Arabidopsis thaliana: one gene and its partner. The protein of the gene in region 1 interacts with the protein of each later gene in a pairwise test. Each region holds a gene or a part of one and is shown in the gene's direction. Other genes may lie near its edges. The genes, in order: AT2G13290 and AT2G33250.

The links.
Region 2: the proteins of AT2G13290 (region 1) and AT2G33250 interact in a protein complementation assay, tested with the Arabidopsis thaliana proteins (one large-scale study listed by BioGRID).

The regions. Positions count from the first base shown.
Region 1 is NC_003071.7:5,509,734-5,514,528, forward strand, and holds AT2G13290 (beta-1,4-N-acetylglucosaminyltransferase family protein), read left to right. Parts: upstream 1-1,828; 5' UTR 1,829-2,070; intron 2,071-2,265; exon of another isoform or gene 2,266-2,282; 5' UTR 2,283-2,324; coding exon 2,325-3,410; 3' UTR 3,411-4,105; downstream 4,106-4,795. Other genes in the region: AT2G13295 (protease inhibitor/seed storage/lipid transfer family protein), read right to left, coding at 4,488-4,513, 4,587-4,795.
Region 2 is NC_003071.7:14,095,650-14,099,519, forward strand, and holds AT2G33250 (uncharacterized protein), read left to right. Parts: upstream 1-1,719; 5' UTR 1,720-1,804; coding exon 1,805-2,209; intron 2,210-2,534; coding exon 2,535-3,029; 3' UTR 3,030-3,102; downstream 3,103-3,870. Other genes in the region: XID (myosin XI D), read right to left, coding at 1-148, 238-383, 557-700, 796-918, 1,209-1,265; AT2G33255 (Haloacid dehalogenase-like hydrolase (HAD) superfamily protein), read left to right, coding at 3,146-3,479.

The DNA.
Region 1 (4,795 bases):
TTTGATGATATACAATACCATCCTTAGCCGGAAAACTTGTCGTTATCTTTCCAAGATCCATCCACAAAACAATAATATTGAGAATAATTGTTGTCAATTGGAAATGCCGCACTCGGTTATGATTTTCTAAATTACAAGAACCATGAGTTTCACTGTGAAGCTCAAGTTGAGCTGACTTCCACGAGTCTGACTCTTTTTCTGCTAAGTGTAACATTTCTAGAGGATCTTTATCTACATTTTTAAAGATTTTTTTTTTTTCTTTCTTTCCAAATATACCAAATTATCCGTGGAAATGAAGATGATTCTAATTCCGAAGGTATGCGCCAAAATAAAGAATCTAAATTTGCATAAATAGATGCATAAAGAAATTTCCCTCAGACTGTAGGTATCTGTGAAAGTGCCCAAATCTAACGCGCATGATGGCATAAGAAAAGCATGTGGTTAATTTTTTCTTCTAAAGCACCACATCTACTACATCCTATCTCAGAGTTTATACCGCGTTATTGTAAATTGTTTGTTACTGGTACCCATCCCGCTAAAATTTGTCACAAGAAGTGACGTAACTTGGGCGGGCACTATACTTTCTATGAGTATGCTTTTAAGACTTTGATGTCTGGGCCAATAAAAGAAGACTTATTATCCAAAGTCTTTAATCGCGCCGTATAATATCCAGATTTAACTATATATTTTCCTGATTTTGTGAAATGCTAACCTAACCTATCTTTCTTAGTTGACACACCCAAGTGCAAAGCACTTATTCGTGTGACATCTTCCGAATCAGAAAGCGTTTATAAAAGATTAATATTCCAGAAATTTGTCTGTGAGTCTATAAGACTCTTGACCTTTAAAGAATGATCAATAGCTGAACTATTTTTTATTGTTAGTCTCGAGAATTGAGTTGGAATCCACGGATCCTCCCAAACTAAGATGGATTATCCACAACCGACTCTTTTAGTAAGTCATTTATTAATCAGGGATCTAGTTGAGCAAATACTTCTCTATTCATAGAATGGAGAATATGATTTTATATTATCCAAAGAGTTGGATTTCCAAAAATTTTGTCCTTTAAGAATCCGCAAAGAGTAAATCTGGAACCGTGATTAAACACCAAAATTGTTTAGCTAGAAGAGCCGGAAAAAATTCGTCTACATTACGAAATCCCAGCCCCCCTTCTGATTTGCTATAACACACCTTATCACATGTTATCCAATGCATATCATTAGATTCACCATTTGAAGTCTACAAGAATTTTGCGATAGTACTTGTGAGCTTTGATGTGATTATTTTCGGTAATCTGAAGCAAGACATAACATAAGTTGGTAAGGTACCGATTTAATCAAAATCATTACGACCGGTCTTGTGATATCATAATCATTTTAAAAAGATAAGATGACCATCGACGTCCATCTTCATCTCAAACCTTCAAATACAATTTTTGGCAACCAAATTTTCTAATGAAACATGAAACCAATAAAAAATTTCAAAAAAACATGTATATAACTTTTTTCCAACAAAATTCTATCGAGTTTTCCAACAAATTTGCATGACATTTTCTTTTTTCATTCTTTTTCTTTATTATCAATATTTTTAGTAAATTTTCAACACAAAACAAATAATAAAAATTGAAATAGAAAACTAAAATATAGTTATAATAAAAAAAACTATAGATAAAATTCAAAAACGAAACAAGCTACAATTAATAAAAAAAAATTAAAACTAAAATCTCCACCAAAAAATTTAAAAACCGAACTTCAAAACCCAATTAAAAACTGGAAAACATCATGACCTTATTCTATTATTAGTTTCGATACAGTATATTTATATTCCGTTTTAACTTTTGTTTTCTTTCGATAAAGATCTGTGGCTAGGCGTAGATTAGCGAGAGAGGTTTAGCGGTCGTTTTACATTCTTCCAAAGCTCTCTCTTTTACAGCTTTTCACAAACAAATCCCAAATCTGATTCTTTCAGCTAAAATTCTTCCATCAATCAATCGAATTGTCAAAAAAAAGATATCACAACCCTTCGTGTGTTCTCATTTCTTAATCTTATACACTTGAAATCTCCAAAAAGGTACCATTTTTATGACTTTGTTATCTCCGTTTTGTGTTCGTTGTTTCCGATTCTCAATTGGGTTATAAGGGTTTAGTCGTTAAACAACTCAATTCTCGTTTTTGGAATTGATGTGAATTTAAAGTTGGAACCTTTTATGTTTTGATCCAAAGAAAAGAATCTGCTTTAGGTTTATGCTTAATTGATAGAGTTTAGTTTATTCTTTGATGCAGGGGAAAAAGAAAATGAGTTGGTGAAGTTTGAGAACCATAGAGATGACGATTCGATCGTTGCGTAAACCACCGCCGGTTAAACTTGTGTTTCCTACTCTGATTATACTCTTCTTGACATGTTTGTTATGTATCTTAACAAATTTCCAAACCATATCGTATCTTTTCCGTCCGCTTTGGGATAAACCGCCACCGCCTTTTAAACGGATACCGCATTACTATGCGGAGAATGTTTCCATGGGACATCTTTGTGAGCTTCACGGCTGGACACCGCGGTTAGAACCGAGGCGAGTGTTTGATGCCATCATTTTCAGTAATGAGCTTGATCTTCTTGAAGTCAGATGGCGGGAATTGGAGCCTTATGTGTCGAAGTTTGTGATATTGGAGTCAAACACTACGTTTACCGGGATCCCGAAGCCGCTTTTCTTCGATTCCAATAAGGAGAGATTTGCGTTTGCGGAGGGGAAGATTGTACATGGAGTGTTTCCTGGGAAGAAACGGTCTACGGGGCAGCCGTATGAGGATCCGTTTTTGCTTGAGGGGCAACAGCGAGTTGCGATGAACTGGTTGCTTAGAGAAGCTGGTGTATCGGATGGAGATGCGGTGATAATGTCAGATGCAGACGAGATTCCGAGTCCTCATACTGTGAAGTTTCTACAGTGGTGTGATGGGATACCAGATGTAATGCATTTGGAGATGAGGGAATACATGTACTCCTTTGAGTTTCCGGTTGATTACAGTAGCTGGAGAGCCTCTGTTCATATATATAGTAGGAAGTGGACTCAATACCGGCACTCACGACAAACGGACTTGATATTATCCGACGCAGGGTGGCATTGCAGCTTCTGTTTCAGACGACTCAACGAGTTTGTTTTCAAGATGAAAGGTTATAGTCATGCAGATAGAGTCAAACGCAAGGAGTTTTTGGATTATCAGAGGATACAAAAACATATTTGCAAAGGTTATGATCTCTTTGACATGCTTCCTGAAAAATACAGCTTCCAAGAGTTGATTAGCAAAATCGGACCCATCCCGCCTTCTGCGTCTGCGGTACATCTACCAGCCTTTTTGATTCAGAACGCTGCTCGCTTTCGGTTTCTCCTCCCGGGAGGTTGTCTCCGAGAACCCTAGCTGAAGATTAAGTACAAAATAGAGAAGCAATAGTTTCTTGTTACAAAGGTTTTTGGCGTCACACCAACTTAACCTGAAACAACAGATAAATAAAGAAATAGATCTTATAACATGTTCTGTTTTCTTACAAAACTTATGGTGATTACAAGACCGGGCCAACAACCATCATTAGTCTCACTCTAGTACCAAATTAACTCAACCTTATAGACAAGCATATCTGGTTTAAACGCACTGGACAAAGAAGAGGTAAGCCACATAGCTTATAGTGGGAGACTCATTATGAACGTAAAGACAGAATCAAGAAACAATATGACCAAAAACCAGTGATTGTTTAAATGTTCCTCTTTTGTTTACCCTCTAAACACTATGGCAAATAATCAATAACAATCTCAACATTGTTGAAAAACCAATATTTTTTTTATCACATGATCCAAAGAGTTGTGTTTCTTTATTTTATTTTTTTGGTAAGCTTGTAAATATCATTAGAAATGAAAGTGAAGAGATTACAGAAGCAACACCTAAAGTAGAGTAATCTTGGGAAAAAAAGAAAGTAAAAAACAAGATTACAATAAAGCCAAAGTGGGATACAAGTTATCTAATCCAAAGGAGCATGAGCAGACGCCAACGCTTCCTATGTCGTCTTCCGGATATGATGTTGCGGACTTGACGATCAACGAGCTTGAAGGTTCCAAAGGCAGTGATCCAATGGTTGTTGTGAAGGTAGTTATTTCGTTGAAGCCAAATATGATAAATTGCGGTTTGCGTAGCCACCTTGTGTTTCTTTATCGTAACATGTCCTTAATGTTTTTGGCAAAACTTTTTTACATATATTGTTGTAATGTTTTCACAAACTTTCTTGTAACTTGTCTTTTTTTTCGAGTGTCCTCTTGCTTCTATTGAAGTTATACGACTGAAATTAACAACTAACAAAAATAGTGTAAAATCAATGTGATTAAAAATCAAATTTATAACGAAAAATAGTTCTTAGCGAAATACAAATCAACTATAGAACATTATTCATACTAATGTACCCTCATTGAAGCAATGTAAGTATCCCAATGCGTTTTTCCTGCTCAATTAAGCGCCTTTCGGGACTTTGTAAACTGAAATATCAATAGAAATGAATTAGATAAGCTTGTGAGAACTGAGAAAAATGCATAGTCTAGTGATAGTTACCTCCGCAATAAGATCCAGGGACTAAGAGGTCGCCGCATGCATGAGAGAGTTTGGAGAGCTTATAAAAGTCAAAGTTTTGCGAAAACGTTTTTGTAACGACTTGGCATATGCATTTCATCTTGTTCAATTTTATAGTATCACAACAAACTTTCAATGGAGAAACCCAAGGAACGCCACGCGTGAGAGAATCGCCACAATAATCATATTCT
Region 2 (3,870 bases), 8.6 Mb from region 1:
TTGCTGTTCGACAGATCGTCCTTCACTCTCAGCTTTTCCACCCATGTATGCAAGATATTGCATGAGCATTTTTGTGCTCTCTGTCTTCCCAGCACCGCTTTCTCCACTCACCAAGATCGCCTGGCTTACTCCCTCGTTGATCATTTTTCTAAATTTATATTCTTGATGATGGTGAGGCCCAAAAAAAAATGATAGTGCAACATTAGTTAAAGTTTCATCTATGCAACAAAAGATTACCTGTATGCAGAATCAGCAACAGCAAAAGGATGTGGGCTTAACTCGCCAAAATCTGTGCCCTTATATTGCTCCATTATCTCATTTCCATATAGGTGGGGTAATCTTTTAAAGGGATTCACAGCTATCAGTATATTCCCTGTGTATGTCTGTAACCATCAAGAAGAAATTAGCTTGCTACAAACACTTCAGAGAAATATTAATGATATTGCTATAACTGTGCAGTAATTTTCAGCAAAACAATGGTAGAGATAATCATAGAATTCATAAGTGGGTGTAATGAAAGAAGGAAAACTGACAAGAGTTACATGCTGAAGCGTACATATATTTCATTTGCATTGTATCTGGCTTTTAGATTGAGAAGAACCCCTGGTTCATGCAAATACGCAAGCTTTGTCATGTCGTCCACACCAAGCTCAGGAAACTCAGGATCCTTGGGGTGGACAGCATTAACCTTTGCCACAACCTACAAACAAATGCATCACAAATATGAGCAATGTATTCTTAAGGTACCTTAAGAACTAACACATTGTCTCGTTGCTTTGGAGAAAAGGGACTAACCGTCTTGGTTTGGCAATTAACTTTGATCTCTTGACCGTTAGCTTCCACAACTTCTCCATCTAGCCAGGCTTCATCTGGATCTTCCACCCAGACCTGTGACCCCACAGTTACCTTCACTGAAGCCTGATTAAAGTAGAATATATTAGAAACAAATAAAAAAAATATTGTCAAGCTTCATTAGCTGGTTCTTTTGTTCTCTTTTAGACACATCTTATAATGAAATCTAAAATGTAAGGGGCAACATAAAAATCAGCTCAAATAGCAATTATGGTTACAGAAGATAAAAAAAAAAAGGTAAAAATGAAGAACACGGAGAAATCGCAATGCAGATAAGAGAAGAGAGACTCGTACCATTATCACGGCCAAATCTGGTCTGATTTTCCTAGAAATGATCCCGAATAAAGATTTCCAACGGGAGAAACATTAGAAAAAATCCCTGAGAACCCAATCAGCTGGTGTTTCCACACCATGGATCCAAACACCATAAATCAAACACAAAACGCTTCTCTCTCTCTACTAGCTTCAAAATCTCTGATCGACGTTATAAATGCGGAAGATTAAGACTACATTCACGTTTTACGGACGATATTTCAAATTTCTCCGACGATTACAGAGACCTTAAACCCTTCGGCTTTTGCCTTCCAATATTTCCCCAGGAAAGCTGGAGATTCTCGCAGAACGTAAGAAATTTTCTCGCGTTTTCCCTCGGAATATTCTCTCCTGGTTTTTTTTTGTTTTTGCCTTGTTTGATGCTTCGTCTCTCTCTCCCTCGTTTCTGGAAAAAGGAAGAGAAAAGAGAATCCACGTAGGCGTGTCAGGTCAGACATTTGATGATCTCGAAATTACCCCTGCAATTATACCGGATTTCAGTTCTAACATTTCTCCTGGACCAAGCCGGTTTATAGTATTCGATTCTAATGGAGGAGATGATGACAACGTGGCGCAAGTTGAGTGTGTCTATACATGGAGCAGAGCATTTTCTTCACTGTTCTCGCTTCGCCAGACGTTAATGGCGGATAGAGGAGCTCTTTCGTTACCGCGAGCTTCTACTTATCTTAGTTTCTCAAACCTCCATGTCTGGCGATTCCACAACCCTAGATCTTATCCTCCCTCTCGTTCTCAACTCCTCTGTTTCTCTTCCTCATGCTCTAGAGTAACTTCGGCGAAGATAATTCAGCTGAACCGCCGGAGATTCAGCTATAAAATATGCGCCGCCGCTGATGACGGTAGGGGATACCGTTTGACGGAAAGGGGAAAAAGGGGAAGGAAGCGGCGGGAGCTATGGGAAGAACTTTTTGAAGATAATGTTGAAGACGATGATGATGAAGATGATGGTGGTGGTGGAATTGGTAGTGCTAATTTTGACCTGTGGAAGATCTTAGAGGAAATTGTAGATAATGTTTGGATTTTAAAGGTAATTAGTTTCAATCATGCATCTTTTAAGCCTTAATTATGAAATTAGCCGGGAATCTACTACTGCTAATTGAAAATGCTGATTGATTAAAGTATCAAAATTGTTCTTTGGTAATGGTTATGGTGATCATGTAAGAAACAGTTAATATCGTTGTGTAGTGAATCTGAACTAGTTTTGATTTCTAACTAGATAGTGTCTTTCTGCTCAAAGATAAGAGAAACGGCTTTGTTGATATATAGCTGCATTTTATTTGCATACACCAGATTTTGCTCTCTTATTGTTGGTGTGGGATCTTTATTGTGTTTGGTTTATGTTCACTTTGTAGGCATTCAAATCGTATGGATATCTCCTCCCATTCATCATCTTATCGCTTTTCTTCAGCACCGGACCCAAAGCTTTCCTCGTGTCACTAGCCGTAGCAATCGGGCCATCATTGTTATTTTATGCGTTCCAGAAGTTGATTGGTTGGGATAAACGCAGAGGTACATCAATAGCAAATCAATTCGGGATAGAGGAAGAAGAAGAAGAAGTGGAGAGAAGTAGTAGCAGGATTCGATACAACCCATCAACCGTTAGAAACAATGTCAATGGCCGTGGAGTTAACCGTAGTTCAGCTGGAATGGCTTCTAAGTTTGGTGGGTGGGACGAGTTAGACGGGCTTGGTACCACCATTCCCGAACGGCCAACAAGCGAACCGAAGAAGAAACCGTTACCGAAGAGGAAGAGAGTAAGAAGAGAAAAGGCAGCAGAACCATTATTGTTGAGATTGTTGGTGTCTTTGTTTCCATTCTTAAGCACATACACAAACATGCTCAAGTGAAAAACCACTAAACCAAAACAAACCAAGTTGTTCAAATTAAACCGAACCGAAATTGGTTAAAAATAGAGAATAATTATGAGCCTCAATTTCAGTTTGAGCATCACCATTTCTTTTCCATGACTTTCCTCTTATCAAGAACATTTATTTCTCTCACTCTCAGACCTTCTTGTTCGATTTCCATGGCGAATTTAACGACGAACGCTAAAACTCGCCTGAGAGGTGTTGTATTCGATATGGACGGAACCCTGACTGTTCCGGTCATCGATTTCGCCGCAATGTATAGAGCTGTTCTTGGTGAAGATGCTTACAAGCGAATCAAAGCAGAGAGCCCTAGTGGGATTGATATTCTGCATCATATTGAGTCGTGGAGTCCTGATAAACAGCAGAAGGCGTATGAAATCATTGCTGATTATGAGAAACAAGGAATAGATAAGCTTCAAATCATGCCTGGTACGGATTCATCTGCTTTATTTTTTTATTTTTGATTTTGTGTTTGCGCTGAGGAAGTGTTAAGGATTTGGGTTTTCGTCTGATAATCTATCGTAAAATGGGTTAAAGATTGAGAATTTCGTAGAGTTAAAGATGAGAAAAGATTGCAAATTCAAGGCTGAAAGATAAAATGAACATTTGTTAAAAGTGAAGACTTTATGGTCTAACGGAGGTTTGACTTTTGTCTTAGAGCCCCACATCACGATTTGAGATCATTCCTTTACTGGTCATTGACTTTATGCTGTTGAGTTCTATAAGATGATTTAGCAGTTGAAAATCTAGAAGGAGTACTGTGTTTCTTTGGCGTTTAGAGGTTTAATTCTCTTCTGATATGTGATCATTTATGTGGCAG